4 linked regions of the Macaca fascicularis genome follow. The protein of the gene in region 1 interacts with the protein of each later gene in a biochemical or structural test. Links are inferred from orthologs where the notes say so. Each region holds a gene or a part of one and is shown in the gene's direction. Other genes may lie near its edges. The genes, in order: RPS6KB1, RPS6, MTOR and PDK1.

The links.
Region 2: of the proteins of RPS6KB1 (region 1) and RPS6, one has a biochemical effect on the other in vitro, tested with the Homo sapiens proteins (4 studies listed by BioGRID). The link is inferred for Macaca fascicularis from reciprocal best matches to the Homo sapiens genes RPS6KB1 and RPS6.
Region 3: of the proteins of RPS6KB1 (region 1) and MTOR, one has a biochemical effect on the other in vitro, tested with the Homo sapiens proteins (18 studies listed by BioGRID and IntAct, with this or other methods). The link is inferred for Macaca fascicularis from reciprocal best matches to the Homo sapiens genes RPS6KB1 and MTOR.
Region 4: the proteins of RPS6KB1 (region 1) and PDK1 form a complex in vitro, tested with the Homo sapiens proteins (2 studies listed by BioGRID and IntAct, with this or other methods). The link is inferred for Macaca fascicularis from reciprocal best matches to the Homo sapiens genes RPS6KB1 and PDK1.

Annotation. Positions count from the first base shown.
Region 1 is NC_088390.1:46,750,734-46,757,777, reverse strand, and holds the end of RPS6KB1 (ribosomal protein S6 kinase beta-1), read left to right. Parts: intron 1-738; coding exon of another isoform or gene 739-759; exon of another isoform or gene 760-1,338; intron 1,339-2,850; coding exon 2,851-2,963; intron 2,964-3,986; coding exon 3,987-4,224; 3' UTR 4,225-5,631; downstream 5,632-7,044. UniProt on the Homo sapiens protein: Serine/threonine-protein kinase that acts downstream of mTOR signaling in response to growth factors and nutrients to promote cell proliferation, cell growth and cell cycle progression.
Region 2 is NC_088389.1:79,493,941-79,501,568, forward strand, and holds RPS6 (small ribosomal subunit protein eS6), read left to right. Parts: upstream 1-2,885; 5' UTR 2,886-2,926; coding exon 2,927-2,932; intron 2,933-3,481; coding exon 3,482-3,613; intron 3,614-4,196; coding exon 4,197-4,407; intron 4,408-4,587; coding exon 4,588-4,734; intron 4,735-6,455; coding exon 6,456-6,613; intron 6,614-6,720; coding exon 6,721-6,816; 3' UTR 6,817-6,854; downstream 6,855-7,628. UniProt on the Homo sapiens protein: Component of the 40S small ribosomal subunit. Plays an important role in controlling cell growth and proliferation through the selective translation of particular classes of mRNA.
Region 3 is NC_088375.1:223,562,860-223,569,903, forward strand, and holds part of MTOR (serine/threonine-protein kinase mTOR), read left to right. Parts: intron 1-3,186; coding exon 3,187-3,373; intron 3,374-4,642; coding exon 4,643-4,771; intron 4,772-5,763; coding exon 5,764-6,008; intron 6,009-7,044. UniProt on the Homo sapiens protein: Serine/threonine protein kinase which is a central regulator of cellular metabolism, growth and survival in response to hormones, growth factors, nutrients, energy and stress signals.
Region 4 is NC_088386.1:68,100,792-68,108,368, forward strand, and holds the start of PDK1 (pyruvate dehydrogenase (acetyl-transferring) kinase isozyme 1, mitochondrial), read left to right. Parts: upstream 1-2,622; 5' UTR 2,623-2,753; coding exon 2,754-2,949; exon of another isoform or gene 2,950-3,066; intron 3,067-3,093; exon of another isoform or gene 3,094-3,472; intron 3,473-5,289; coding exon 5,290-5,431; intron 5,432-7,577. UniProt on the Homo sapiens protein: Kinase that plays a key role in regulation of glucose and fatty acid metabolism and homeostasis via phosphorylation of the pyruvate dehydrogenase subunits PDHA1 and PDHA2.

The DNA of each region.
Region 1 (7,044 bases):
CTGTGGTACCAACTACTTGGGAGGCTGAGGCAGGAGAATCACTTGAACCCGGAAGGCAGAGGTTTGCAGGAGCCAAGATTATGCCACTGCACTCCAGCCTGAGCAATAGTGAGACTCCGTATCAAAAAAAAATAATTAAAAAAAATAAAGTTGCCGGGTGCGGTGGCTCAAGCCTGTAATCCCAGCACTTTGGGAAGCCGAGACGGGCGGATCACGAGGTCAGGAGATCGAGACCAGCCTGGTTAACGTCTCTACTAAAAAAATACAAAAAACTAGCTGGGCGAGGTGGCGGGCGCCTGTAGTCCCAACTACTCCGGAGGCTGAGGCAGGAGAATGGCGTAGACCTGGGAGGCGGAGCTTGCAGTGAGCTGAGATCTGGCCACTACACTCCAGCCTGGGCGACAGAGCGAGACTCTGTCTCAAAAAAATAAAAAAATAAAAAAATAAAGTTAGCATGGAATGCAAAAGTTGTGTATAGTATAGTTTGAGTAAACAACACTGAATAGTAATAGTCCTATAAATTAGTAATATAGAGCACATAGGCAAAAATACAATCTTACAGTATTAATTACATAAGAGATAAAAGATGAGTGAGTACATGCATGGTTTTAAATTCAAGTTTGATGGTGCATGATCAAAGTTACGGCATCTCTGTTAGTAAAATCTTAGGTTCAGTTAGGGAAGTGGGCATGAATCACTTTAATTTTGGCTTTTTTTTTTTTCTCTCATGTACTACAGATGTGGAATTTATACCTTTGATTTAAAATAGAGACCTTTTCCTCAATTGGACATTGCAGAATTTCAACTTATGTGACAGTTTTTCACCCACAAAATAGAAGCATTTTATTTAGCTACCAAGAAATCCAAAGTTGTGGCGGTAAAAGTGAGATATTGAAGCTTTCATTGCCAATTACGGTATTATTGAGCTTTTCATAATTACTTAAATTGGCTAACTGATGAACAGAACAATTCATTTGTTAGGTTGTAGCCAGAATTCTGTACATAAAGTAGATCTCTTTAAACATTAATAAAAAAATAGGCTGGGCGCAGTGGGTCACGCCTATAATCCCAGCACTTTGGGAGGCTGAGGTGGGTGGATGACAATGTCAGGAGTTCCAGACCAGCCTGGCCAAATGGTGAAAACCCGTCTCTACTAAAAAGACAAAAATTAACCAGGCGTGGTGGCTGTAGTCCCAGCTACTGGGAAGGCTGAGGCAGGAGAATCGCTTGAACCTGGGAGGTGGAGGTTACAGTGAGCCAAGGTCATGCCCCTCACTGCACTCCAGCCTGGGCGACAGAGCAAGACTCCATCTCAAAAAAAAAAAAATATATATATATATATATACACACACACACACACACACATATACACACACACACACATATATATACACACACATATATATAGTGATATCCCACTTATCTGGATAATGTGGTTCTAGCAACCTCATTTCAACAAATATTCAATTCCTGTTGTAAGACTCCATCACATAATTAGAGGAAATTCAAAGATGATTAAGGCACAGCCTGTACCTCATGATAGTTACAGCTTTAGTTCACTAGAACGTTTGTAAAGTTATTTTTTGAAGTTCACATATAACTGTCACAATTCATATGCACTTCAGAATTGCACCTCACTCTTTGGGCCTTCACTCAGAGCTTTGTTGAGTCTTATTTATTGTAACACATAATGCTTACTCATAGATTTTGATAAATAGAAGATAGGTGAAGACGGTTAAAAGAATGAACATTGACAGCTAGAGAAATGACAGCTGGTAGCCTAATAGTAAGGTCCAAGAGAGAACTAAAATGAACAGAACTGCATTTTTGCCTATTACAACTGAAAGGTTTTGAAATGTTGATACTTATTCATCAAGAAAATACCAAATTCTAGCTGGGCAGAGATCACACATGCCTATATAGTCCCAGCTACTTGAGGGGCTGAGGTGGGAGAATAGCTTGGCTCCAGGAGTTTGAGGCTGCAGTGAGCTACGATATCACCACTGCACTCCAGCCTGGGCAATATAGGGATACCCCATCTCTTAAAACAAAACACAAATTCTGTCTAATCATTGGCATAAAACCAGAAAGATCACAAGATCTGACTTTGATGCTAAGTCAGAAAATTGTTTTTACTTTGGCCTAATTATGAGAAACTGTTTTGGGGTGATAAACTTAATTGCTTACATGCCTGTGGCTAGAAACACTAGAAGTTTCTTTATATTTCTCCTAGTATTTAACATCTTTTTTTTTTTTTTTTAATTTTTGAGATGGAGTCTTGCTCTGTTGCCCAGGCTAGAATGCAGTGTTGCGATCTCTGCTCACTGCAACCTCTGCCTCTCAGGTTCAAGTGATCCTCTTGCCTCAGCCTCCCAGGTAGCTGGGATTATAGGCGTGCACCACCATGCATGGCTAATTTTTGTATTTTTAGTAGAGACGGTGTTTCCCCACATTGGCCAGGCTGGTTTGAACTCCTGACCTCAGGTAGTCTGCCCGCCTTGGCCTCCCAAAGTGCTGGGATGACAGGCGTGACCCACTGTGCCTGGCCGTATTTAACATCTTCATATGGAGCCTGAATTTTCCTGTTTTTTTTTTCTGTTCCTGTCAGTAGGGTGGAATTTTGTTTGCTAGCAATCAGGCTCAATAGAATTCTGTTCTTGAAGTGTGTGCCTCACAAAATGGCTGGAAGGAAGTTAACAGGTCTAAAAATGAGGTTGAGGATGTGGGAGAGTGTACACATTGGTGGCTTTAGGTGTGCATCATTGTGTAGGTATGTCAGACTGAACAACCCCATTTTCTTGAGATATATGGCAAAACGCCATTCTGTAGTCCACTGTTACTGTCTTTCAGGGTTTTACATATGTGGCTCCATCTGTACTTGAAAGTGTAAAAGAAAAGTTTTCCTTTGAACCAAAAATCCGATCACCTCGAAGATTTATTGGCAGCCCACGAACACCTGTCAGGTATTTCACACTCTTATTTTCACTTTTTTTTTTTTTTATTACAACCTATGAGTGAGAGTGTTTGCTTAAGAAATTTATGCCAAGTTACATAAATGAAGGACTGTCATGGTCTCTTTGGTTGACATAAGCACAACATCTGTATCTCACATTGCAAAGGACTAGTCTGACTAATCTGTGATGTTATATGGTTTACCTTCCCTCCTGAAAGTAAGCAGCCACACTGGCAAATGTTTCTCTTTATCCATTCACTCAGCATTTATTGTGCACCAAGAGCACCAGCACTGCATGCTGCATGTTCTGTGTGTGTGTGTGTATAGTACTATAATACAGTAATTGTCCCTGTCCTGATGAGGCTTACAATGTAGTGGGAGAGTCACAATAGACAAAGGATATACAAAAATATAAGTAGTGCTAAGTGCTATAATTTAAAAGGGGGGGGGAAAGGAATGTAGTGGTAGACAGCAGAGGAAAAACAAGGGGGCTTCTACTCACAGTGGTCAGAGAAAGGCCTCCCTGGTGTAGTAACATCTAGCAGTGAACAGAAAGAGCCAGCCCTACAAAAATAGAAGGTTTAAGAATGTTGCAGGCAGAAGAACAGCAAATGCAAAAGCCCTGAGGGAGGAGAAAAGTTGTCCTTTTCCTGGAAATGAGATCATTGTTCCTGGAGTGTGTGGTGAGTGAGGAGGAGAAGGGCAGAGGTTTGGAAAAGGATTTTATTTTAAATGCAGTAGAAAGCTGTTTTGAGCAGGGGAGAGTAAAATGATATATATATATAATATGTATTTATATATCATTGAGGGGTTTGGGGGTCAGGTGTAGAGGTAGAGACTGGTTAGGAAATTCTAGCAGTTAATCTAGGCGGGCGAGAGATGGTTCAACTTTTGCCTTTGTGCTAATCCACATGCAAATAAAATTAAACGAAAATAAATGTCATATTACCCCACTCCCTTTAAATGTAAAGGAAATATGTCTTGTTGAGATGACCCTTAAACAAATGAATGATAGCTCTTCCTTGTCTTAAAGCCCAGTCAAATTTTCTCCTGGGGATTTCTGGGGAAGAGGTGCTTCGGCCAGCACAGCAAATCCTCAGACACCTGTGGAATACCCAATGGAAACAAGTGGCATAGAGCAGATGGATGTGACAATGAGTGGGGAAGCATCGGCACCACTTCCAATACGACAGCCGAACTCTGGGCCATACAAAAAACAAGCTTTTCCCATGATCTCCAAACGGCCAGAGCACCTGCGTATGAATCTATGACAGAGCAATGCTTTTAATGAATTTAAGGCAAACAAGGTGGAGAGGGCGATGTGTGAGCATCCTGCAAAGTGAAACAAGACTCAAAATGACAGTTTCAGAGAGTCAGTGTCATTACATAGAACACTTTGGACAGAGGAAAAATAAACATGGATTTTAAAAAATCAATCAATGGTGCAAAAAAAAAAAAAAAACTTAAAGCAAAATAGTATTGCTGAACTCTTAGGCACATCAAGTAATTGATTCCTCGCGACATCTTCTCAACCTTATCAAGGATTTTCATGTTGATGACTCGAAACTGACAGTATTAAGGGTAGGATGTTGCTTCTGAATCACTGTTGAGTTCTGATTGTGTCAAAGAAGGGTTATCCTTTCATTAGGCAAAGTACAAAATTGCCTATAATACTTGCAACTAAGGACAAATTAGCATGCAAGCTTGGTCAAACTTTTTCCAGCAACTTGGAATCAAAGACAAAAGAAACTTACCAATTGATGTTTTACGTGCAAACAACCTGAATCTTTTTTTTATATAAATATATATTTTTCAAATAGATTTTTGATTCAGCTCATTATGAAAAACATCCCAAACTTTAAAATGCGAAATTATTGGTTGGTGTGAAGAAAGCCAGACAACTTCTGTTTCTTCTCTTGGTGAAATAATAAAATGCAAATGAATCATTGTTAACCACAGCTGTGGCTCGTTTGAGGGATTGGGGTGGACCTGGGGTTTATTTTCAGTAACCCAGCTGCAATACCTGTCTGTAATATGAGAAAACAAAAAAGAATCTATTTAATCATTTCTACTTGCAGTACTGCTATGTGCTAAGCTTAACTGGAAGCCTTGGAATGGGCATAAGTTGTATGTCCTACATTTCATCATTGTCCCGGGCCTGCATTGCACTGGAAAAAAAATCGCCACCTGTTCTTATACCAGTATTTGGTTCAAGACGCCAAATGTGCTCAGCCTTTGGCTGAAGAACAACAAAAGAGAGTCAGGATAAAAAATACATACTGCGGTCGGCAAGGTGAGGGAGATAGGGATATCCAGGGGAAGAGGGTGTTGCTGTGGCCCACTCTCTGTCTAATCTCTTTACAGCAAATTGGTAAGATTTTCAGTTTTACTTCTTTCTACTGTTTCTGCTGTCTACTTTCCTTATATTTTTTCCTCAACAGTTTTAAAAAGAAAAAAAGGTCTATTTTTTTTTCTCCTATACTGGGGCTACATTTTTTGATTGTAAAAATATTTGATGGCCTTTTGATGAATGTCTTCCACAGTAAATAAGAAAACTTAGTGACTTAATTTAGGAAACATGTTAACAGGACACTATGTTTTTGAAATTGTAACAAAATCTACATAAATGATTTACAGGTACAAAGAATAAAAATAAAGGTAACTTTACCTTTCTTAAATATTTCCTGCCTTAAAGAGAGCATTTCCATGACTTTAGCTGGTGAAAGGGTTTAATATCTGCAGAGCTTTATAAAAATATATTTCAGTGCATACTGGTATAATAGATAATCATGCAGTTGCAGTTGAGTTCTATCACCTGTTTTTCTTTGTCTTTTATAATGTCTTCAGTCTGAGTGTGCAAAGTCAATTTGTAGTATTTTGCAACCCTAGGATTTTTTTAAATAGATGCTGCTTGCTATGTTTTCAAACCTTTTTGAGCCATAGGATCCAAGCCATAAAATTCTTTATGCATGTTGAATTCAGTCAGAAAAGAGCAAGGCTTTGCTTTTTGAAATTGCAACCCAAATGAGATGGGATGAAATCCTATGACAGTAAGCAAAAACAGAACCATGAAAAATGATTGGAAATATACCTTTTCAATTGTGGCAATAATTGAAAGAATAGATAAAAGCTCATCTTTGGACAGAAAGCCTTTTTTAAAAAAATCACTCCCTCTTACCCCTCCTCCCTTATTGCAGCAGCCTACTGAGAACTTTATGACTGTTGCTGGTAAATTAGAAGCTACAATAATAATTAAGGGCAGAAATTATACTTTAAAGTGCAGATCCTTGTTCTCTGACAATTTGTGATATCTGAAAAAACAGAACCCGAAAAGCTATGGTGATATGTACAGGCATTATTTCAGACTGTAAATGGCTTGTGATACTCTTAATACTTGTTTTCAAATATGTTTACTAACTGTAGTGTTGACTGCCTGACCAAATTCCAGTGAAACTTATACACCAAAATATTCCTCCTAGGTCCTATTTGCTAGTAACATGAGCACTGTGATTGGTTGGCTATAACCACCCCAGTTAAACCATTTTCATAATTAGTAGTGCCAGCAATAGTGGCAAACACTGCAACTTTTCTGCATAAAAAGCATTAATTGCACAGCTACCATCCACACAAATATATAGTTTTTCTGACTTCACATTTATTAAGTGAAATTTATTTCCCATGCTGTGGAAAGTTTATTGAGAACTTGTTTCATAAATGGATATCCCTACTATGACTGTGAAAACATGTCAAGTGTCACATTAGTGTCACAGACAGAAAGCACACACCTATGCAATATGGCTTATCTATATTTATTTGTAAAATTCCAAGCATAGTTTAAAATATGATGTCGATATTACTAGTCTTGAGTTTCTAAGAGGGTTCTTTATGATTATACCAGGTAAGTGTATAAAAGAGATTAAGTGCTTTTTTTTCATCACTTGATTATTTTCTTTAAAATCAGCTATTACAGGATATTTTTTTATTTTATACATGCTGTTTTTTAATTAAAATATAATCACTGAATTGAAGTTTACTAATTTGATTTTATAAGGTTTGTAGCATTACAGAGTAACTAAACTGGGATTTATAAA
Region 2 (7,628 bases), on another chromosome or scaffold:
GCAGAACAAATTGCTTGAACCTGGGAGGCAGAGGTTGAGGTGAGCTGAGATAGCGCCATTGCACTCCAGCCTGGGCAACAAGAGCGAAACTCAGTCTCAGAAAAAAAAGAAAAAAAGTGTGTGGACCTGGTGTAGTGGCTGATACCTGTAATCCCAGCATCTTGGGAGGCCAAGGCAGGAGGATCATTTGAGGTCAGGAGTTTGAGACCATCCTGGCCAACATGGTGAAACCCCATCTCTACTAAAAATACAAAATTTAGCCGGGCATGGTGGCACACACCTGTAATCCCAGCAGCTACTCAGGCTGAAGTGGGAGAATCGCTTGAACCTGGGAAGCAGAGGTTGCAGTGAGCCGACATTGTGCCACTGCACTCCAGCCTGGGCAACACAGGAAGACTCCGTCTCAAAAAAAAAAAAAAAAAAAAGGCAAAGAACCCTTGTGTACTGTTGGTGGGATTGTAAATTGGTACAGTCACATGTAAAAGAGTATAGAGGTTCCTCAAAAAATTAAAAATAGAACTACTACATGATCCAGCAGTCCCACTTCTGGATATCCCAAATAATTGAAAACAGGGTCTGTCTCTAAGATATATTTGCACACCTATGTTCATATCAGCATTATTTACAGTAGCCAAGAGGTGGAAACAACCAAAATGTCCAATGACAGATGAACGGTTAAACAAAATGTAGTATCTACATGCAACAGAGTATTATTCAGCCTTAAAAGCGAAGGAAATCCTGTCACATGCTATAACACGGATGAACCTTGAGACCATTATGTTAAATGACATAAGCCAGTCACAAAAAGACAACTACCGTTTGATTCCATTTATATGAGATACTTAGTCAAAATCATAGAGACAGAAAGTAGAATGGTTACCAAAAGCTGTGGGTAGGGGGAAAGGAGTTACTTAATGAGTATGAAGTTCCCGTTTTGCAAGATGAAAAAGTTCTGGAGATCTATTTTACAACAATGTTAATATATTTAACATTACTGAAGTGTACACTTCAAAATGGTGTCAGGGTTTGAAGACAGGGTGTCATTATGTTTGCCCGGGCTGATCTCAAACTCCTGGCCTCAGGAGATCCTCCCATCTCAGCGTCCTAAAGCATTTGGATTACCAGTGTGAGCCACTGAGTTTGGCCACCCTAAAATATTTTTAAAGGGAAAAACAAACAAAAAAACCTAGCCCGTGGTTCTAGACTTTGTCTTTGCCTCACATTAATTTACTCCCACTACTTCAATAAAAATAATTAGGGCGAAAAAAACAGGGAGAGTTAAGAGCTTATACAGACATTTCTCTAAAGAAGATATACAAATGGCCAACAAACACATTAAAACATGCTCAACATCATTAGTCATTAGGGAAATGCAAATCGAAACCACTATGAGTCGCAGCTACTCCAGAGGCTGAGGCAGGAGGATGCTGCAGGCCAAGAGTTCCAGACCAACAGGATCTCGCTTTGACCCTGTCTCTACAATACATTTTTTAAAAATTAAAAAAAAAAAAAAAAAAGTGTTGGCCATGATTTTGATAAACTGCGGCCCTCATACATTGCTGGTGGGAATGTAAAATGGTCCAGCTGCTGTGAAATAGTTTCCGTTTCTCCCTGAGAATAAAATTACTGTATGACCCAGCAATTTCACTCTTAGGTATATACCTAAAATAACTGAAAACAAGTACTCATACATAGAAGAACTATTTACAATAGTTAAAAGGTAGAAACAACCCATATGTCTATTAATGGATGAATGGATAAACAAATTGCAGTCTATACCTACACTAGCATATTGAGCCATAAAAGGGATGACATACTGATACATGCTACGACTCAAAAGATTAGTAAGACAGACACAAACGGTCAATATTGTATGATTCCATTTTTGTGAAATAGGCACATCCACTGAGACAGGACACAGATTGGTGGTTGCCAGGGCCTGGTGGAAATGGGGAAGGGGGAGCAACCGCTTAACGGGGCACAGCGTTTTCTTTTAGGATGATGAAAATGTTTTGGAACTGTATCGATAGAGAGGCTGGTTGTACAGCATTGTGAATGTACTAAATGCCACTGAATTGTTCACTTTAAAAATGACTGGTTGTGTCAATTTCACCTTAACAAAAAAATTACATACAGTACTCAGATTTTAAAAAGCATCATTTCACCAAGATTCCACGAATTAATGTGAGATGATCAAAGCGGATTCAGTAGAGTCGTTCAACTTCGAACGTGAAACAGTCCTAAACTCAAACCTGTGTGACACTAAAGTGGGAAGATGGTATGTGATAATTTTAGAAAGTAAACATTATTCTTGTTTACTTGATTTGGAACTCGAACTTTTATTATTTTGAGGCGGAGTCTCCCTCTGTCGCCTAGGCTGCAGTGCAGTGGTGCGATATGGGCTCACTGCAACCTCCGCCTCTCGGGCTCAAGCGATTGTCGTGCCTCAGCCTCCCTAGTAGCTGGAACTACAGTCGCCCCCCCCCACCACGCGCGGCTAATTTATATATTTTTATTAGAGACGGAGTTTCGCCATGTTGGCCAGGCTGGTCTCGAACTCCTGACCTAAAATAATCCGCCCGCCTCAGCCTCCCAAAATGTTGGGATTACAGGCGTGAGCCACCCAGCTCCAAAACCCAGGGAGCGTGGAAAAGACAAGACAGGGAAGGGGCTAACCCTCAGAATTACACGCGGGCTCGCCTTACCAGACCACCACTGCTGGCATAACCTCACACCCACTGGCAACCAACTTCACCTCCCAGACCCTGATTCAACTCAACCCCGGAAGTGCCGCCCACCCGTGCTTACTTCCGCTGTCCCGTACTTCTGCTCATCTCGCGAGAACTGAAAGCGCCTATGAGACTTGCGCTAAGCGGAAGTTGGTCCTCTTTTCCGTGGCGCCTCGGAGGCGTTCAGCTGCTTCAACATGAAGGTAGGTGGTGGTGGCGAGTGTTAGACTGGTTTGGGGAACGTGAATCGAGTCCCAGAACGCGGCATTGCCTCATTTCCAGCACTGCAAGATCCTGGCTTTAGGTGGAGAAGGGTCTCAAGTAGGAGAAGGCTCGCTTTTCTGGGGCATGGAGCTTTTTGGCCGAGCGGATGGCAGGCGATTGCGGCTGGAGCCGCGGCGGGCCGGGAGCGCCATGGTGGCGTCCCGGCGTGTTGCCCAGTTTGCGGCAGGCCTGTGGTGCGGCTCTTGACCCCGGCTTTCTTGCTTCGGGAGGGTGAACAGCTGCGGAGCGCCCTCGCCCCCAGAGTCATTCTGCGGGGCTTGAGGGGAACACGTCCTCCTGAGTGCGGCGCTTCTTGACTGCTACTGTGCTTTCACGTGCTTTTAGTGAGTACGGTCGGCATCTCATATTTCCTGCTTGTGTGGAGGCAACATGAAAGGCTTTTTGCAGTGGAATTAACTTTGTGGATGGCTCTACAATTACCTGTGTAGGTAGTTTCGTAAACTATTTCCCTCCCTTTTAATCCTTAGCTGAACATCTCCTTCCCAGCCACTGGCTGCCAGAAACTCATTGAAGTGGACGATGAACGCAAACTTCGTACTTTTTATGAGAAGCGTATGGCCACAGAAGTTGCTGCTGACGCTCTGGGTGAAGAATGGAAGGTAAAAGTTAACAATCAAATTGTTGCAGCTATTGAAGTCAGACGGTAAACGCCATTGGTAATTGGTATTTGGAATGGGGTTCAGACTGCGGGTTCTGGCTTCTGACCTTTGGTAAGTTGCTTCCGAATGCCACTTTATGAAGTTGAGCTGTTACCTTGGAGGGGAGACATAGAGTAAGCCGTAAAATATACGTAAAGTTTACATCAACGTAATTCTTGCCATGCATCATGCATTCGGCAGATGTCACATAGCTGTCCTCATAATCTCCAAAGTGCGAAGACGCATTGTATCTGATTTGTTTGTTGCTCTTTGATATTTTATCTTCCTAGTGCTGTTATTTCTAATAAAACATCGGTTAGAAATGCGACTTGAATGAAAGACATCTGATAATTGAACTTGATAAGTTGGGAATGTAGACAAAACTTACTGATCAGAGAAAACGTGCTTAAGTTTTAAGTTTAAATTGGTTTTCATAATGAATTATACTTTCTCATATAGGTGTGGTTCACAGAGGTCACAATCCTGTATTGTATAATTTTGGAATAGAAATAGTAAATGTGTCATTCATTGTATGCTCTTGCAGGGTTATGTGGTCCGAATCAGTGGTGGGAACGACAAACAAGGTTTCCCCATGAAGCAGGGTGTCTTGACCCATGGCCGTGTCCGCCTGCTACTGAGTAAGGGGCATTCCTGTTACAGACCAAGGAGAACGGGAGAAAGAAAGAGAAAATCAGTTCGTGGTTGCATTGTGGATGCCAATCTGAGCGTTCTCAACTTGGTTATTGTAAAAAAAGGTGAGGGTTACTTGTGTTCAATTTTCATTGAAATTGATGTAAAGCCAGTTGTCCAAATGCTTATTCATTTGCAGTATCCAATGGATTTGTTTCTTTACCATCAATTCAACATTAAATATTCTGATTTAGGATTCTTAAGGAAGTTGTTGAATTAAAATCTTTTCAATTGTGTCTTCTAAGGAGAGAAGGATATTCCTGGACTGACTGATACTACAGTTCCTCGCCGCCTGGGCCCCAAAAGAGCTAGCAGAATCCGCAAACTTTTCAATCTCTCTAAAGAAGATGACGTCCGCCAGTATGTTGTAAGAAAGCCCTTAAACAAAGAAGGTAGGAGGGATTATGCAATTAGGGCTTGCTTAATTTTGGTGATTTGTCAATATCATTTTGTGTGCATATGAGAAGATAAAAATGTGCCTTTGGAGCCTTAGCATTCTTCACCTGGAGTCTGAATTTTTACAAAAAATATGTGGGGGTGGCCAGCATACCCACTTGGTATTAATCCTTGCTTATTATATCCAGTGCCTTGTAGAGTGCAGTAATTTCCTTGAAAATCTGCCTGTGAATCTTTGATGTATACATTTATCCAAAACTAACCTGACTTTAAGGTCATTGCTATCTGGTTTAGGAGTCACATGCTTGAGAATTCTGGAACTATTATCTCACCACCACACACTTTGTAATTTTACATCAGATGTTCTAAATTATTACTGTTAATATTTTTTAAGAGATGAGGTCACACTGTGTTGCCCACGCTGGTCTAGAACCCTTGAACTCAAGTGATCCTCCCACCTTGGCCTCCCAAAGTGCTGGGATTACAGGCCACCACACCCAACCCTAAATTATTTTTTGGCTTACTAAAGAAGTTGCTTTAAACTTTTGTTTCATCTGTAGGATATGGATAACAATTGTTAAGAGTTGTAAGAATTAGAAGTTAGAGACCTTAGAATACTAGGAAGTGGGAGTTAGGGATTTTGGAGCTTTACCTTTTAAGAACTTGTGTCAATATATTAGACAACATACCAGTGAGGACCTCAAATGACAGTATTTCTGTAGTGAAATTTGGGAATGTTTATGTTAAATAGAATAAACAGCATGTCAGTCAAGGTTGGGTTTTCCTGACAAAATCTGAAAGAATTTCTCTGGATTTTGTTTTTTCAGGACTGGTGTGACTTAACACCTGTACATGGCATATATAGTACATGTTTGTTAAGTCAGTAATTACAATTATTTGAGCACCAGGTACTGTTCAAGGTGCTGAGAATACAGTATAGACAAATTCCTACCCTAATGAAGCTGACATTGCAAAAAAAAAAAAAAGAAAAGCAATTGACAAATAGGTGGCAGTTGCCGATAATCACAGCCCTGGAAATAATCAGAATAATAAAAGCGTGGTGTGGTTGATGGGTATTTTTAGATGGTTCCTGTGTTTATAGTAGGAGTCTGAAATATTAGCAGAACCTGAACATCTGAGCATTTAGCCTAAGGCAATTAAACTCCCACGAGTGTTCATGAAACAGCCTGTGCTCCAATGCAAATCTACAGTCTGAGCAGTTTTGGAGTACAGATCAGATTAATGAAGATACTTTAACAACATGTCACATAATCTGATGTTAATTGTTACGTTACCCCTGAATTGGCAGGAATTGTCAAGGGAAATAGAGATGCAAGCTTACATCAAACTTACACTTAAAAGTATGGCAGGATGATTATGTAAATACTATGTTAAGTGGTTTTCACAGACAAATTGACTATGCAGAGTTATATTTTAACATAATGCCACTGTATTTTAGTAAAACTGGAAGGTAGTAAAGGTTAGCTTGGTTATTTTTCAGCACTTGGTTTCCCTTATATTTTTATATTTAACCCATCTTCTAGATTTCTGTGGAGGAGCAAAAAGTATTTTAAAATACTTCTGATTTGATTTTAAAGGCCTCAATACAGGTTTTCATAGATGCTGTTGATGAAGCTTACGTTCATTTCTGATGTTTTTAAAGTAGATGTGGATTCTAACAAAACAGTTGAAATGATTGAGTCCTTTGAATTTTTAGGTAAGAAACCTAGGACCAAAGCACCCAAGATTCAGCGTCTTGTTACTCCACGTGTCCTGCAGCACAAACGGCGGCGTATTGCTCTGAAGAAGCAGCGTACTAAGAAAAACAAGGAAGAGGCTGCAGAATATGCTAAACTTTTGGCCAAAAGAATGAAGGTTAGTGTAAGATGATTTGAAGGGGTGGGAGGAGTTCGACCTGGCTTTGGATTTGCATCTTTACCCCAGAAAGGCCTTAACTATATGCTGTTTTTTGTTTTGTTTAGGAGGCTAAGGAGAAGCGCCAGGAACAAATTGCAAAGAGACGCAGACTTTCCTCTCTGCGAGCTTCTACTTCTAAGTCTGAATCCAGTCAGAAATAAGATTTTTTGAGTAACAAATAAATAAGATCAGACTCGGATCTCTGTTGACTTTTCATTGCTTGACAGAAAACTACATAAATGAAGAGAGGGAAAGTTGGTCATAGAAAATGGGGATATGTATATGGTAATCCAATGGTGGATATAATCAGACCTATTGTGTGGTAGTGGAAGACAAGGTCAATGTAAAGGGGTTCTTTTTGGGGGATGGGTAGCACAGGAAGGGATTCTGAGCATAAGACATCTGCCTCTTCAGAATGGCATTGAACTTAGGGGAAATGATGAGGACTATTAATCTTTTTCATATAGTTTATTTTGAGGAATATAGCTCTTTAAAACACTATACACAATTTAATACATGAAAATTGACTGTGTGAAGATGAACATGTCTTTTTTGAAGAAAAGGTAACTTTTAAGCCATAGTTTTAGTGGATACCATCTTAAAATGAAGTTTTTTAAACCATTTCAAATTTGCTTTAACAGAGTTTTTCAACTCCAGTGAATTGTTAGGCTGTTTCACACACTGAAAAGGAAATGACTAAAAACATTCTTGGATCAGTGAAAAATGCACAAAGCATGTATTTTTTTCTAATAGTTTCTATTCTAACTATCCTGACAGTATCAGGATCTTTACAAGAAGGCACATTAGGCTTTAAGGTTGAAGCAATGCAAGCTCTTTGTTGGAACTACTGTAATAGCTTTATAAAGCAGAGTACTAAATGTTAAATGTACATGTTAATCACCTAGGGGTCTGGTTAAGGCGCAGATAGAGGAGTGGGGACCCACATTTTCACATTACTAAAAAGCTCCCAGGT
Region 3 (7,044 bases), on another chromosome or scaffold:
CCACATAAAACCACTGAACCAGAGAGAAATAACAGAAGGAAAATCACCCATATTTTGTTAGTTTCTATTCTTCTGGCCTGGCACCCAGCAGCTTTTCTCTTTTTTAATGACCAGACAGGTTGCTGTTGAGTAGAGCTTTAAATGATCTTGGATTAAAAGTCTGTGGTTCAAAAGAAACTAATAACTAGGCCAAATTTGATGAAAGTCTGGCATGTTACCCTTGTAAGTTCAGAAGACTGCTTAGCAGCAGGATACAAAGGCTCGGAGGGCCCTAGATTTCTGCTTTTGATGTGGGTGTTTGTTATTGTTGTTGCTCTCTTTTTTAAGGTTAGTCAAAGTTGTTTTATTAAATTTGCTAAAATATGCCAGTGACATTCAGCCTGGGCACCCCCTATAAGTATTCGCTTCATTGCATAAATACTATTTGTTTAAAGCTTGCAGTTTGGAAGTTATTGCTTAAACTTCTCAGTGGTATAAGCTTTAGAAATACAAAAAATACTCCCAAGACTGAACTGGAATCTCTAAAGTCAGATTTCTAATCTCTCAGGGTGTTAAATCCAGAAAAGAAAATTATGCTCTCTTGGGTTTTTTTTTGAGACAGGGTCTTGCTGTGTCTCCCAGGCTGAAGTGCAGGGATGCGGTCACAGCTCACTGCAGCCATGACCTACTGAGCTCAAGTGATCCTCTCACCTCAGCCTCCCAAGTAGGTAGGCCCACAAGCGTGAGTCTCCACACCTGGCTGATTTTTTAAATTTATTTTTTGTAGAGATGGGGGTCTCACTGTGTTGCCCAGGCTGGTCTTGAACTCCTGGGCTCAAGCAATTCTCCCGCCTCGGCCTCCCACAGTGCTTGGGATTACAGACAGCTGTGGCGCCTTGCCAAGAAATTATACTCTTGATTTTAGCCCATTTCCTGCCGAAATGCTATCCCCCTAGTTTTTCTTGTTGACTCACTCTTATTTTAGGGTTGTATCGCCTTGGTCATCTGTCTTCAAGCCCCAGCATGCCTCATTGTCATTTGACCACAAAAGCCGTGGGAGAAAACATTTCTCAGAGTAAATGCAGTCATGATATGTGCTGCTTTAGGAGTCTAATCCACTGTCTAAATGTGGTTCTGGTAGCTTTCAACACCCCTAACTTCCTAAGGGATGTGTGGTTTTCGCTTCTCTCCTACTTTATGTGTACTACTGGTGCCTATACTGGGGACCAACATCAATGGAAAAGAAGGAATAGACAAGAAGCAAGAATCAGGAAATTCCAGCTTTCAGAGGAGAAATAACACTTTAGCTTGAATTGTACGAGAATCGCCTACCCATGCACACTGGCTTATGTAAACTTAATGAAAATATACATGTGGCTTTCCAAATTACAGACTAAATCTTCTATTAAATATAACTGTCACAAAAATCTCTAGGTAATAGCAAAATGATTTCTAGGCCTAAGCTGAATGGAATGGCCTGTTTATTGCAAACAGTGTTCAGTATTACAGTCATATATTACTTAACGATGGGGATACATTCTGAGAAATGCGTCCTTAGGAGAATTTATCCTTGTATGAACATCATAGAATATATTTACATAAACCCAGGTAGCCTACTCTACACCTAGCTCTATGGTATAGCCTATTGCTCCTGGGCTACAACTTGTGCAGCATGTTACTGTAATGAATAGGCAACTGTAAAACAGTGGTAAATGTTTGTGTATCTAAACATAGACATAGAAAAGATACGCAAAAATGTACTGTATTATAATCTTATGGGACCACCATCATATATGTGGTCCATTGTTAACATAAGCATCGTTAAGTGGCGCAAGACTGTACTGTTTGTTTATTTGTTTGTTTGTTTTTCTGAGACAGAGTCTTGCTCTGTCACCCAGGCTGGAGTGCAGTGGCACAATCTTGGCTTACTGCAACCTCCACCTCCCGGGTTCAAGCGATTCTCCTGTGTCAGCCTCCCAAATAGCTGGGACTACAGGCACACGCCACCACGCCCGGCTAATTTTTTGTATTTTAGTAGAGACGGGGTTTCATCATGTTGTGCAAGCTGGTCTCAAACTCCTGAGCTCAGGCATCTACCCGCCTCGGCCTCCCAAAGTGTTGGGATTACAGGCGTGAGCCACTGTGCCCGGCCCTGTACTGGGTTTTTATTAGTTTGAGACAGGGTCTTTTTTTTTTTTTTTTTTACTGAGATGTAGTTTTGCTCTTGTTGCCCAGGCTGGAGTGGAGTGGCGTGATCTCGACTCACCGCAACCGCCGCCTTCTGGGTTCAAGTGATTCTCCTGCCTCAGCCTCCCGAGTAGCTAGGATTACAGACATGCACCCCTGTGCCCGACTAATTTTGTATTTTTAGTAGAGATGGGGTTTCTTTATGTTGGTCAGGCTGGTCTCAAACTCCTGACCTCAGGTGATCCACCCACCTTGGCATCCCAAAGTGCTGGGATTACAGGCATGAGCCACCAGCCTGGCCCTGAGACAGGGTCTTATTCTGTCGCCCAGGCTGGAGTGCATGGCTCTTGGCTCAGTGCAGCCTCAAACTCCTGGACTCAAGTGATCTTCCTCAGCCTCCTAAAGTACTGGGATTACATGTGTGAGACACTGCACCTGGCCCATGACTGTACTTCAGATTTCATTATAATGTAAAATTGTTTAGATCTTCTGTTTTTAAACAATGTTTGACATATATTTCTTAAGCAAGAGCATGTAATTCTTGTATCAAAATGTAACAGTAATGGAGACAATTACATGATACTGTTTTGGCAACCTTTTACGTGTTTTGGATTTCTTTTTTTTTTTTTCTTCTGAGACAGGGTCTTGCTTTGTCACTCAGGCTTGAGTGCAGCACTGCACATGATCACACCTCTCTGCAGCCTCAACCGTCTGGGCTCAAGCGATCCTCCTGCCTCAGCTTCCCGAGTAACTGGGATTACAGGCGTGCACCACCACACCTGGCTAATTTTTATTTTTTGTAGAGACAGGGTCTTGCTGTGTTGCCCAGGCTGTTTCGAACTCCTGGCCTCAAACAATCCTCCCTCCTTGGCCTCCCAAAGTGTTGGGATTACAGGCGTGAGCCACTGGCAACTTTCTTAATTTATTCTTAAACTGAATTGCTTTATAGGACCTTTGACTGTTGATGTATAGACCCTAACCCTGACCTGGAGCTATCTACTTTGTCTTTTCTGTACTCAGATACTCAGTACCTCCAAGATACTATGAACCATGTCCTAAGCTGTGTCAAGAAGGAGAAGGAACGTACAGCAGCCTTCCAAGCCCTGGGGCTGCTTTCTGTGGCTGTGAGGTCTGAGTTTAAGGTCTATTTGCCTCGCGTGCTGGACATCATCCGAGCGGCCCTGCCCCCAAAGGACTTCGCCCATAAGTAAGCACCTCTGTTATGATTTCACCTTCCGCTTCATTCGGTTGGAGAGGAAGGACGCTCTATCCCAGATCCACAGAGCTTAAGCCATTTTTTGCACATTCAACTCCAGGGTATAGCAAATCATATGAAGAACAGCCCTTCCTCAGTTGAATTCTAAGCTTTTCCAAATGAAATAACATATATGAACTATTTGGGGAGGTTGAATACCCTGAGAACACGTGAGATGTCAATGCTGTTTTCAGTGTTATTATTTACTGGGAATCTGCTAGTTTTGCTTTTTTCTCTGGCTTTTAAAAGTCTTATTTTGATATAAGACCTAAAGAGAGGAATCCTCTCCTGGAACTGAAGGGACCTAAGGGTCATCTTTTTCCTCATCACTGAAGTTGAATACGTTATTCCACCTCTTTAAACCTTCTGGAGAATACACTATGAGAAACTCCCTCAGCGTCCTGCCAGATGGAGTGGCCAGGGTGTCTTCGCTAAGGCGGGGGGTCAGTGTTCCTCACCCTTTGTCTCAGGGTTGTCTTTATACTTCCCTGTTTATTAGTGAAGATTGCTGTGGTGAATTAATACACCCCATTCATTCTTCTTTTTTTTTTTTTTTTTTGAGATAGAGTCTCACTTTGTTGAGTGCAGTGGCGCAATCTTGGCTCACTGCAACGTCCTCCTCTTGGGTTCAAGCGGTTCTCCTGCCTCAGCCTCCCAAGTAGCTGGGATTACAGGCATGTGCCACCACACCCAGCTAATTATTGTATTTTTTTGTAGACACAGGGTTTCACCATGTTGGCCAGGCTGGTCTCGAACTCCTGGCCTCAAGTGATCTACCCACCGTAGCCTCCCAGAGTGCTGGGATTACAGGCGTGAGCTACTGCGCCTGGCTCCATTCTAAAGCCCCGCATTCTCATCATAGAAGAATTTCTTTCCATACGATGGCTGTTTACTGCCTTCTTGTCCCTGATGAACACATTGTTCATCTCCCTTCCTACGTAAGTATCTTGGTGAGCACCACACTAATCCATATGGTACAGCTGTGTGAATTCGGAAAAAGGGCCCCTTCCTTAAGACACTTTACTGCCATCTGCTGGATTGTTGTAGAAACATACACATCTACAGTCACTGTGATGTGATGGGCCCCTTTGAACTGTGCTGTGGACGGCTTGCACGCCCATCTGCCTGAGTAACCTGTTCTCCTTGCCCCAAGGTGATTTTGAGGTGGGACATTAAAGAATGTCATTATGTCTCAACTAGCCACTGTTGGTTTCTCTGCAGGAGGCAGAAGGCAATGCAGGTGGACGCCACAGTCTTCACTTGCATCAGCATGCTGGCTCGAGCAATGGGGCCAAGCATCCAGCAGGATATCAAGGAGCTGCTGGAGCCCATGCTGGCAGTAGGACTAAGGTGGGTGTCAGAAACCTGAGGTTGCCCTATATCAATGTGCGGCTTGGCCCCCAGTGTTGGGACTGTTAAAAGAGTGAGGCGTGGTTGTTTGCACTTTCAGTTGGATGGACAGGATAGCTTAGACTAAACACATAGGCTAGTACTGAATCCTAGTTTCATCACTAGCGTGTTATGTGATCTTGACTAAGTTATTTAATTTCTCTGAGCCTCTTTTTTTTTTTTTTTGAGGAGTCTCGCTCTGTCGCCCAGGCTGGAGTGCAGTGGCGCGATCTCAGCTCACTGCAAGCTCCGCCTCCTGGGCTCACACCATTCTCCTGCCTCAGTGTCCCGAGTAGGTGGGACTACAGGCACCTGCCACCACGCCTGGCTAATTCTTTGTATTTTTGGTAGAGATGGGGTTTCACCATGTTAGCCAGGATGGTCTCAGTCTCCTGACCTTGTGATCCGCCCGCCTCGGCCTCCCAAGTGCTGGGATTACAGGTGTGAGCCTCCGTGCCCGGCCTCATTTTTTTCTTTTAATCTGAAAAGTGGGTACAATAGTAATTCGTATTGCCTAGGGTTGCTGTGGGTTCATGATATAGTCACTCTTAGCACCATGCCTGGCATATAGGAAGTACTCAATAAATATTTGCAAATATTGTATATATTATTGAGCAAGTTGCTTAAGCTTCCTAAACTAATTTCTCCTCATCTGTAAAATAAGGACAGTGTTTTAAATCTGCTTCCCAGAGTGTTTGTTGAGACTTGGTCTTCTGTAGTGGCTGAATTATAGTGAGCAAATCTTTTGTGGTGAGAACCAGAAACTCACAGATTGTTTGGATACCTGAGACTAAGCCAAGAGAGTTTACACTTTTATTCTTATTTTATAATATCCTTTCTACTCTGAAGAACAGAGGCCTGATCCGCTTGCTAGGAGAGAAAGCTATTTCTTCCCAAGAACAGACTAAGTGTCATGTGCCCAGCCCTTATGTGGCTTGTTTCCTTCCCCTCAGCCCTGCCCTCACTGCAGTGCTCTACGACCTGAGTCGTCAGATTCCACAGCTAAAGAAGGACATTCAAGATGGGCTACTGAAAATGCTGTCCCTGGTCCTTATGCACAAACCACTCCGCCACCCAGGCATGCCTAAGGGCCTGGCCCATCAGCTGGCCTCTCCTGGCCTCACAACCCTCCCTGAGGCCAGCGATGTGGGCAGCATCACTCTTGCCCTCCGAACGCTTGGCAGCTTTGAATTTGAAGGTAAGAAATTACAATGTCTCTTGGCAAGGTAGTGAGAGCTGCTGGAAACTTTGGGAAAGGAATGAAAGTATCTAGACTTCCTGGATCTTGCTGTGATCCCAGAGACAGGGTAGCTGATTCTGTAGCAGCTCATCCTTCCTAGACTCTTTCCATATATTGGTAATTCCTGTTTGTTTCTTTGTCCCATACTGAGTTTGGGGGCAGATCGTTTGAGGGAAAGTATACGTTGATCCAAGGAAATAATGCTGCAGAGACAGATCCCCCTCATGTCCCCACTTTTTCACTTCCTTGTAGCTGAGATGATATGTACTGCTTTAAAATGTATAAGCAGGGGCTTTTGGGTGTTTCCATGTCTATGGTGGTATGGTGTCTTTTCTCTTTTTTTTTTTTTTTTTTGAGACAAAGTCTCTCTGTTGCCTAGGCTGGTGTGCAGTGGCACAATATCAGCTCACTGCATCCTCCATCTCCTGAGTTCAAGCGATTCTCCAGCCACAGCCTCCTAAGTAGCTGGGACTGTAGGTGCGTGTCACCATACCCAGCTAATTTTTGTATTTTTGGTAGAGATGGAGTTTCACCATGTTGGCCAGGCTGTTCTGGAACTCCTGACCTCAAGCGATCTGCCTGCCTCGGCTTCCCAAAGTGCTAGGATTACAACCGTGAGCCACTGTGCCCGGCTGGCAGTATGATTTCTAAAAGTACTGTACTGTGTAGTTCTAAACTGCAAATAAACCCACAATAATACCCCACAGAGATATATTTCAGGAGAAGTTGATACTTTTGAAATTTAAGATCATATAGGTAGTATTGGTCAAGACTGTAGAGAAACAAGCAAGTACAGAAAGCCTGAACATGCTGTCTGGAGACAGCCACCTGTGGTTTCTCTATTGCAGTTCCTCCACTTAACATTGATTCACACTGGTGATAATTTATTTCTAGTGAATAGAAAGTAGCTATGTTTAAACCCAGCCTACATAGATTCTTTGTCTGGTATTTAAATCTGGGAACTAAAACAGGCAAGGTAAATTTGATCAAGAAT
Region 4 (7,577 bases), on another chromosome or scaffold:
CCCCACGAAGCACTACAGGCACGTGCCACCATGCCCAGCTAATTTTGTTCATTTTCTGTCGAGACAAGGTCTATGCTGCCCAGGCTGGTCTCGAACTCCTGGACTTATGCAATCCTCCCACTTTGGCCTCCCAAAGTGCTGGGATTACAGGCATGAGCCATTGTGCCCTGCCTAATTTGTTAGTTTAACAAAGGTGTTCCGGTCCCCAGGAAAGCTGGGGGTTTGTTTCATGGAGGAGCTGTTATCTTTGTTTCAAAGTTAATATATAAACTAAATTCCTCCCAAAGTTAGTTTGGCCTATGCTCATCAATAAACAAGGGCAGCTTGGAAGTGAGAAGCAAGATGGAGTTGGTTAGGTCAGATCTCTTTCACTGTCAGAATTTTCTCACTGTTATAATTTTTCAAAGGCAGTTTCATTCACATGGTAGAAGAGATGGTAGAAACAGACTCACCCTCTTAGGCCCTTTTATAAGGCTCTGCCCTCATGACTTAATTCCCTCCTAAAGGCCCCACCTCTTAATACTACCACGTGGATAATTAAGTTTCAACATAGGAATTTTAGGGGACACATTCAGACCATAACAACAGAAAATATAGCTCTTTACTAAAGTCCTCAAAAGTTCTCTCCAGTTTCTGGACCCAGAGTCTTTGACTAAGAAGCAAAAGTTGACATCACTTAATATGTGCTTTTATATGCACATTCTCCATATATTGGTTGAAGCATGGTGAATATACTTTGGAGAAAAGAAAAAGCACTTTATACAACAGTTGATTCCTTCCTGGGGGAAAAAATCTTGCTAAAATAGTCTCAAAGTTTCTGCTGGGCCTTTGTGCTTTCACATAAATTAATGTTCAGCCGAGCATCTTGACATGCTCAGGCAGAAAGCAGCAAAATTGCAAACAGGGATTGAGGAAGCTGAATAATGGTGTGCATGATAAAGTGACAAGACTTTGGAGCTCAGGGAATAATCTAGAAGGAAGGAGAAAAGAAAGGAGGAGGCAACCTGAGAAGCTGGAGTAGAGCTGTGGAAATGTTTGATGGATTGTTTTAAGAACGTGTAATATTCAACTTAAAATTGTTTTCTTCATTCCAACTTGGGCACTGCAGAAGAAGGGTGGGAAGCAGAAGGGGGCCATTCAGCCACCAATGAGGTGGTGACACCATCAACATTCCCAAGCACATCCCATTGAAATGGACTTCAAGAAGTGTGGCCTTCGGGCACTCAGCAAAGATATCTGGAAATTTGCCAAGAAAGAGATGGGAACTCCAGAGGTGCACACTGATACCAGGTTTGACAAAGCTGTCAGGGCCAAAAGAATAATGTCCCATACCGTATCCACGTGTGATTGTCCAGAAAAACATAAGGAGAATGAAGATTCACCGAAATGTGAAAGGAAAACATGGGCCCCAAAATCACTGAGCTAAAGGGAAAATTCAAGCTGGGAACTGCTCGAGGCAAACCTGCCTCCCATTCTATTCAAAGTCATCCCTCTGCTGAGATAGATGCATATCTGATTGCCTCTTTTGGAAAGGCTTAGAAACTCAAGACTGCAACCATTTGTCTCACCTACCTATAACCTGGAAGCCTTCCCCCCTGCTTCAAGTTGTCTGCTTCTTACATATAGAGACGGACGTGTTCTCAACTTTGCCAAGATAAACTTTATACATTAATCGAGACTTGTCTCTTACTTTCGGGGTTCACAAAACTATGTACCCGTTACACTTTCTAAAACCTACAGTCAGTGTGGGAGAAGAACTGCTGATACTCGAATACGTCAAATAGTTACAAAACGGCCAAAAACTGTTGTTTTCTCTCAAACTTTTGGTAAAATGTGCTTCAGGGAAAACACAGGTAAGTGGTTCTGATAAAATCTTAATAAGGACATAATTTTAAAAAGCAATAATGGTAAAAATAAATCCCATTTATTATCTGGTATGTCCCCGGCATTGTGCTAACACAGATAGCTCTACTACCCATGTCAGAGCAACTGAGGCAGATACTACGCTCCTTTTTCAGGTAAAGAGATGGAGGCTCAGAGAGGTTAAAGAGCTCAACTCAAAGGCACACAGCCAGTACATGGCAGTACGTCTCTCCTCCTGGGGCCGCCGTCTCGGTGATACTATTTAGGGCCACACGTCCCACTCTTCAGCATTCGTATTTACGTACCACTGTTTGGCAAGCGGGGACTCCTGAAGCTCTCTGACCCTGAAATGTGTGGCTTGCGTCACAGAGAAGCGGTTTTAGAACGCGCTCGCAGCAGGACACCGCGGTGTGTGCAAGCGGAGGGCCGCCCTGTCCTTGAGCCTTTTGGCCGAGACTAGGAGGGCAGAGGAAGCAGGAAGGTGGGATTTGTTTCAAAAGGGCGCGGGAAGGGGACGCTCCACACCGCCTCGCCTCTTAGTGTCCCCGGTCCCGTCACCTGAAATGTACGGGAACAACTGCCACGCGCACCCCACACCTCGCCGGCTGCGGCCTGGCGCGCGCTCCTCATCTACTTCCCCGCAGGGCTGGGCGGGAATCCGGCGAGGGGGCGGGCCCCGCGAGCGCCCGCCCCCTTTTCTCTCCCCGCCTCCTTCCCGCTCTGCATCCCGCCCAGCGGCGCAGGGGGCCGGGCTCCGGCGAGAGGGGTGGGGGCCGCGCCGGTGACAGCCGCTCCCCTCCCCTGCTGCCCGCCACGTCCCTCACGTACCACTCGGCAGAGGCGCGGGGAAACGTGGCGCCCGGGCTCTGGCTTCTCTAGCGGGGCTCGGCATGAGGCTGGCGCGGCTGCTTCGCGGAGCTGCCTTGCCCGTCCCGGGCCCGGGGCTGCGCGCCGCCGGCCCCAGCCGCTCCTTCAGCTCGGACTCGGGCTCCGGCCCGGCGCCCGAGCGCGGCGTTCCGGGCCAGGTGGACTTCTACGCGCGCTTCTCACCGTCCCCGCTCTCCATGAAGCAGTTCCTGGACTTCGGTGAGTGCGGCCCGGACTTCGGGCCTTTGTGCGCGGTCCCAGGCGGGGAGCTGCGGCCCCTGCTCCAGGCCCGGTCGGTGCCGGCCAGCTCTCGCCTGAGGCGCAGCCCTCCTCCTCAGTGTTTCCGCCCCCAGCGCCTTAGGTGCTTCCTTCCTCCAAGTGCCGGCGCTGGCTGACGGCGTAAATAACGGTGGGCGTGTGGCTTTGATCGTATTGTTGAAAACAAACCAGCTGGGCCGCGCGGAATGACCTCCCGCCTTCCGGCGCACGTGTGCAGGTGCGCGCTCGGCCAGGCCCCTTCCGAGGAGGCGCGCCCGCGTGGGAGGCCGAGCGTGGACACCCCCGAGGATCGCTTTTGGATTCCGCGCAGTGATGATGAATGCCCAGTTTTGCATATGCTGATTGCATAGAAATGGCGTGATGATAGGCAAGGCAGGTTATAACTGGCCCAGAGTTTCTTAGAATGTTTTCCTTGCCAGTAGCATAAATTGTTTGCACCAACAGCGCATTTCATCATCAGCAAGTAAGTCTTGAGCACGTGTTGAGTGCATGAGGACAGGATGCTGTGAAGTTTACCAGATTATCCTTGTTTTCTCGATAAGCTGTTAAACAGATTGCAGAAGGAATTGCATAGTTAGGCATTTTAACTTTTACTTCCCACTTACCTATCAAGGCAATGAGGGGAAAAGGGAAAACCTTAATGAATTCATAAAATTTGAGTACAAAGGTTATCTTCTGCATTGTGACTTCTGCATTGAATGATACCTGCATGGTTGACAACTTTGTCTTAAAACTGTGGTTTATAGTCGCATAATTTTTGGGTCAAAGCCTTAGGTTTTTGTTTTTACTTTAAAATGACACTAGTTCGACGTAGGGGCGAATTTGGTGGTGGTCATAAGTATGCCATGAAACTTTCACAAGCTGTTTTCCTTTAATAACTTAATTTCTACTATTGACAGTCTAGTTTTTGCTAACGTTTTCTCTGCTAAAGCAGCAAGAATAGTAAGCTTAAAATGCATTACTGGAATAGCAAGACCTTTTAGTTTAATATTAAGTGGAGCTGTTTGCCAAAGGACATTCTACAACGATTCTGCTTAGGAAGTGATATGGGATCGTGATATGGGAGTGGAGGGGTCAGGAGACTTTCCAGTAACCAGACAATTGAATAGGACCTACTTGAAGATGGTGCTAACAGGCAGTGGTGGTTTTTGCTTTCTGTTGCTTGAAAGCTTTCCTCTGCACTTACTCTTTTTTCCCGTGTGTGTGTGTGTGTGTGTGTGTATTTTTTAAAACTAGAAATGGGGTCTCGCTATGTTGTCCAGGCTGGTCTCAAACTCCTGGGCTCAAGCCATCCTCCCAGCTTGGCCTCCCAAAGTGATTATAGGTGTGAGCCACCACACCTGGACTCCACTTACTCTTTGCTTACTGTAATTAGCATTTGTGGTTCTATATGGAATCAGTGAATCTTCATATGCAAACATCAAAATTTTACTCTTTTCTTTTTGATTGAGACAGGGTTTTACTCTGTCACCCAGGCTGGAGTGCAGTGGTGCTATCATAGGTCACTATAACCTCACTTTTCTGCCTGAGCTTCCCAAGGCTAGAATTACAGGCAAGCACAACCACGCCCAGCTGTTTTTTATTTTTTATAAATACGAGGTCTCATTGTGTTGCCCAGGCTGGTCTTGAACCCCTGCGCTCAAACAGTCCTCAAGCCTCGGCCTCGCAAAGTGCTGGGATTATAGGCATGAATCACTGTGCCTGGCCCCCTGTTTTTAATTTATTTTTTTAAGGCTAGTCAAGTGAAACAGTGGGAGTGGAGAAGGAACAAAGAAATCTGTAACTGGTCGTAATCAATTAGTCGTAAATACCACTGCATTCAGACCACCTTAAAGTTTCTGTTTCTTAGACATTAACTCTTTTTAAAACTAGAGTTAAAAAACAGATTTTCTAAATGATAGCAGCAACAGGGTGTACAGGCTAGACTTTTCCAGGTTCTGCTGTTAATTTTATAAAGCCTTGCTCAGAAATGCTCAGTTTACCTCACTTCTAAAATGGGTCATCACTATAAGGATACAAGTTAGGGAGACAAGGTTATCGTAATTGCTGTACAGAGCCATTGGAATGTCAGTAATTGGAATGTCATAACTCTGGAGACTGGGTTATCTCATCCCTCACCTCCCACAGGCAGGGATACCTTTGCCTTCTATTCCTTGCCCCATCGTGGTGATTCTACCCCTCTGGCCTTGCCAGGTAACTGCCTCTCATTTCTCCCTGCCTCTTGCCTTCGGTTTCCTTATGGCTTTTACTTACTGCTTTACCCATCATGTTTGGTTTCAGGATCAGTGAATGCTTGTGAAAAGACCTCATTTATGTTTCTTCGGCAAGAGTTGCCTGTCAGACTGGCAAATATAATGAAAGAAATAAGTCTCCTTCCAGATAATCTTCTCAGAACACCATCCGTTCAATTGGTACAAAGCTGGTAAGATTCTCATCTTGTGTTTACAATTTGATGGAGTTGTGGACTCTATTCAAGGTTACGGCAAATGCTTTTTTTACTCTTCAGTGGAATCTTTTTTTTTTTTTTTTTTTTTGAGAGGGAGTCCTGCTCTTAGGCCAGGCTGGAGTGCAGTGGCACAATCTCAGCTCACTGCAAGCTCCAGCTCACTGGTTCAGGCAATTCTCCTGCCTCAGCCTCCCGAGTAACTGGGATTACAGGCATATGCCACCATGCCCAGCTAATTTTTGTATTTTTAGTAGATACAGGGTTTCACCATGTTGGCCAGGATGATCTCGATCTCCTGACCTTGTGATCCGCCTGCCTTGGCCTCCCAAAGTATTGGGATTACAGGCATGAGCCACCATGCCTGGCCAGAATCTTAAGGTAGTAGCAGTATTCTTTTTTTGTCTGGGGGCAGGTGGGGGCAATGTATTTGGGCTTGTGCCCTGAATCCTGGACTCCACAACTCCTTGATTTTGAGAAAACCAATTAGAACTGCACTGAAATACAGATGCTAAATTTAGGATTTATGTTAGTATATCTGCAAGGATATTATGAGAAAAATGTCTACAATTTGTTGATGACTAGGTATTTATGTATATTGCCTTTAATCCCTTTAACAACCTTGCACAGTAGGTATGAATCTCTCCATTTTATTCATTGTTGTTATTTTTATTTATTTATGTATTTTTTTTTTTAAATGGAGTCTTGCTCTGTCACCCAGGCTGGAGTGCATGATCTTGGCTCACTGCAACCTCTGCCTCCTGGGTTCAAGTAATTCTCTTGCCTCAGCCTCCAGAGTAGCTGGATACAGGCACCTGCCACCACACCCAGCTAATGTTTGTATTTTTAGTAGAGACAGAGGTTTCACCATATTGGCCAGGCTAGTCTCAAACTCCTGACCTCAGGTGATCCTCCCACCTCGGCTTCCCAAAGTGCTGGGATTACAGGCGTGAGCCACCGCTCCTAGCCCGTTTACTTATTTTTTTGAGACAGGTTCTTACTCTTACTCTGTCACCCAGGTTGGAGTGCAGTGGCGATCACAGCTCAGCTCACTGCAACCTCCACCTCCCTGGCTCAGGTGATCCTCCCACCTCAGCCTCCTGAGTAGCTGAAACCACAAGCGCGTGCCACGCCCAGCTAATTTTTGTATTTTTTAGCAGAGATAGGGTTTTTCCATGTTGCCTAGACTGGCCTCAAACTCCGGAGCTCAAGGGATTTGCCCACCTGGGCCTCTCAAAGTGCAGGGATTGTGGGCATGAGCCATTGTGCCCAGCCTGTTTATTATTTTTAAAATGAATTTATTTTCTTTTTAGAGACAGGGTCTCCGTCACCCAGGCTAGAGTGCAGTAGTGTGATCATGGCTCACTGCAGTCTTGACCTCCTGGGCTCAAGAGATCCTACAGCCTTAGCCTCCCGAGCAGCTGGGACCACAGCCATGTGCCACCATACCTGACAAATTCTTTTATTTTTTGTAGAGATGGGGTCTCACTTTTTTGCCCAGGCAGGTTGTGAACAGGGCTCAAGCAGTCCTCTCACCTTGGCGTCCCAAAGTGTTGGGATTACAGACATGAGCCACTGCACCTGGCAGGTTTAACTCTGTTTTACAGATGAGGATGCTGAGGCACATAAAGGTTAAATCTTTTGCATAAGGCAGTACCGTTGATAGTGGAGTTGGGATTCAAACTCCCATTTGTCCATCTCTGCTATACCATTCTATAGTCAGAACAATGAAATATATGAAAGGGTATATGTATTTTTAATAAACTGTATTTACTGAAGGGTATCTTTTTATAAATTACAAAAGTTAAAACGTTTATTTTTCTGTTTTAAAACAATTAGAAGTTTTTGGAATTGTGTAGAAAAAGTGTGATCTATTCCCAAAGATGAGTAGAGATGTTAAGGGTATACACTCATGGAGCCACCTATATACAGCCTTTGTTAATGTTATTGCTTTAAAAGTGTTGTTCTTTTAAGCACTATACACTTCAAATAAATGAGCTGTCTAGAGTTAAGTCTTAAATGGAAGAAGTTTAGCTGCAGGGCATTTCCCAGTTATGATTCATGGAGATTCAAGTTTTCTTTTTGTAGTCATTATAGTGTATGGGAGAAGTTGATCTAATCTCGA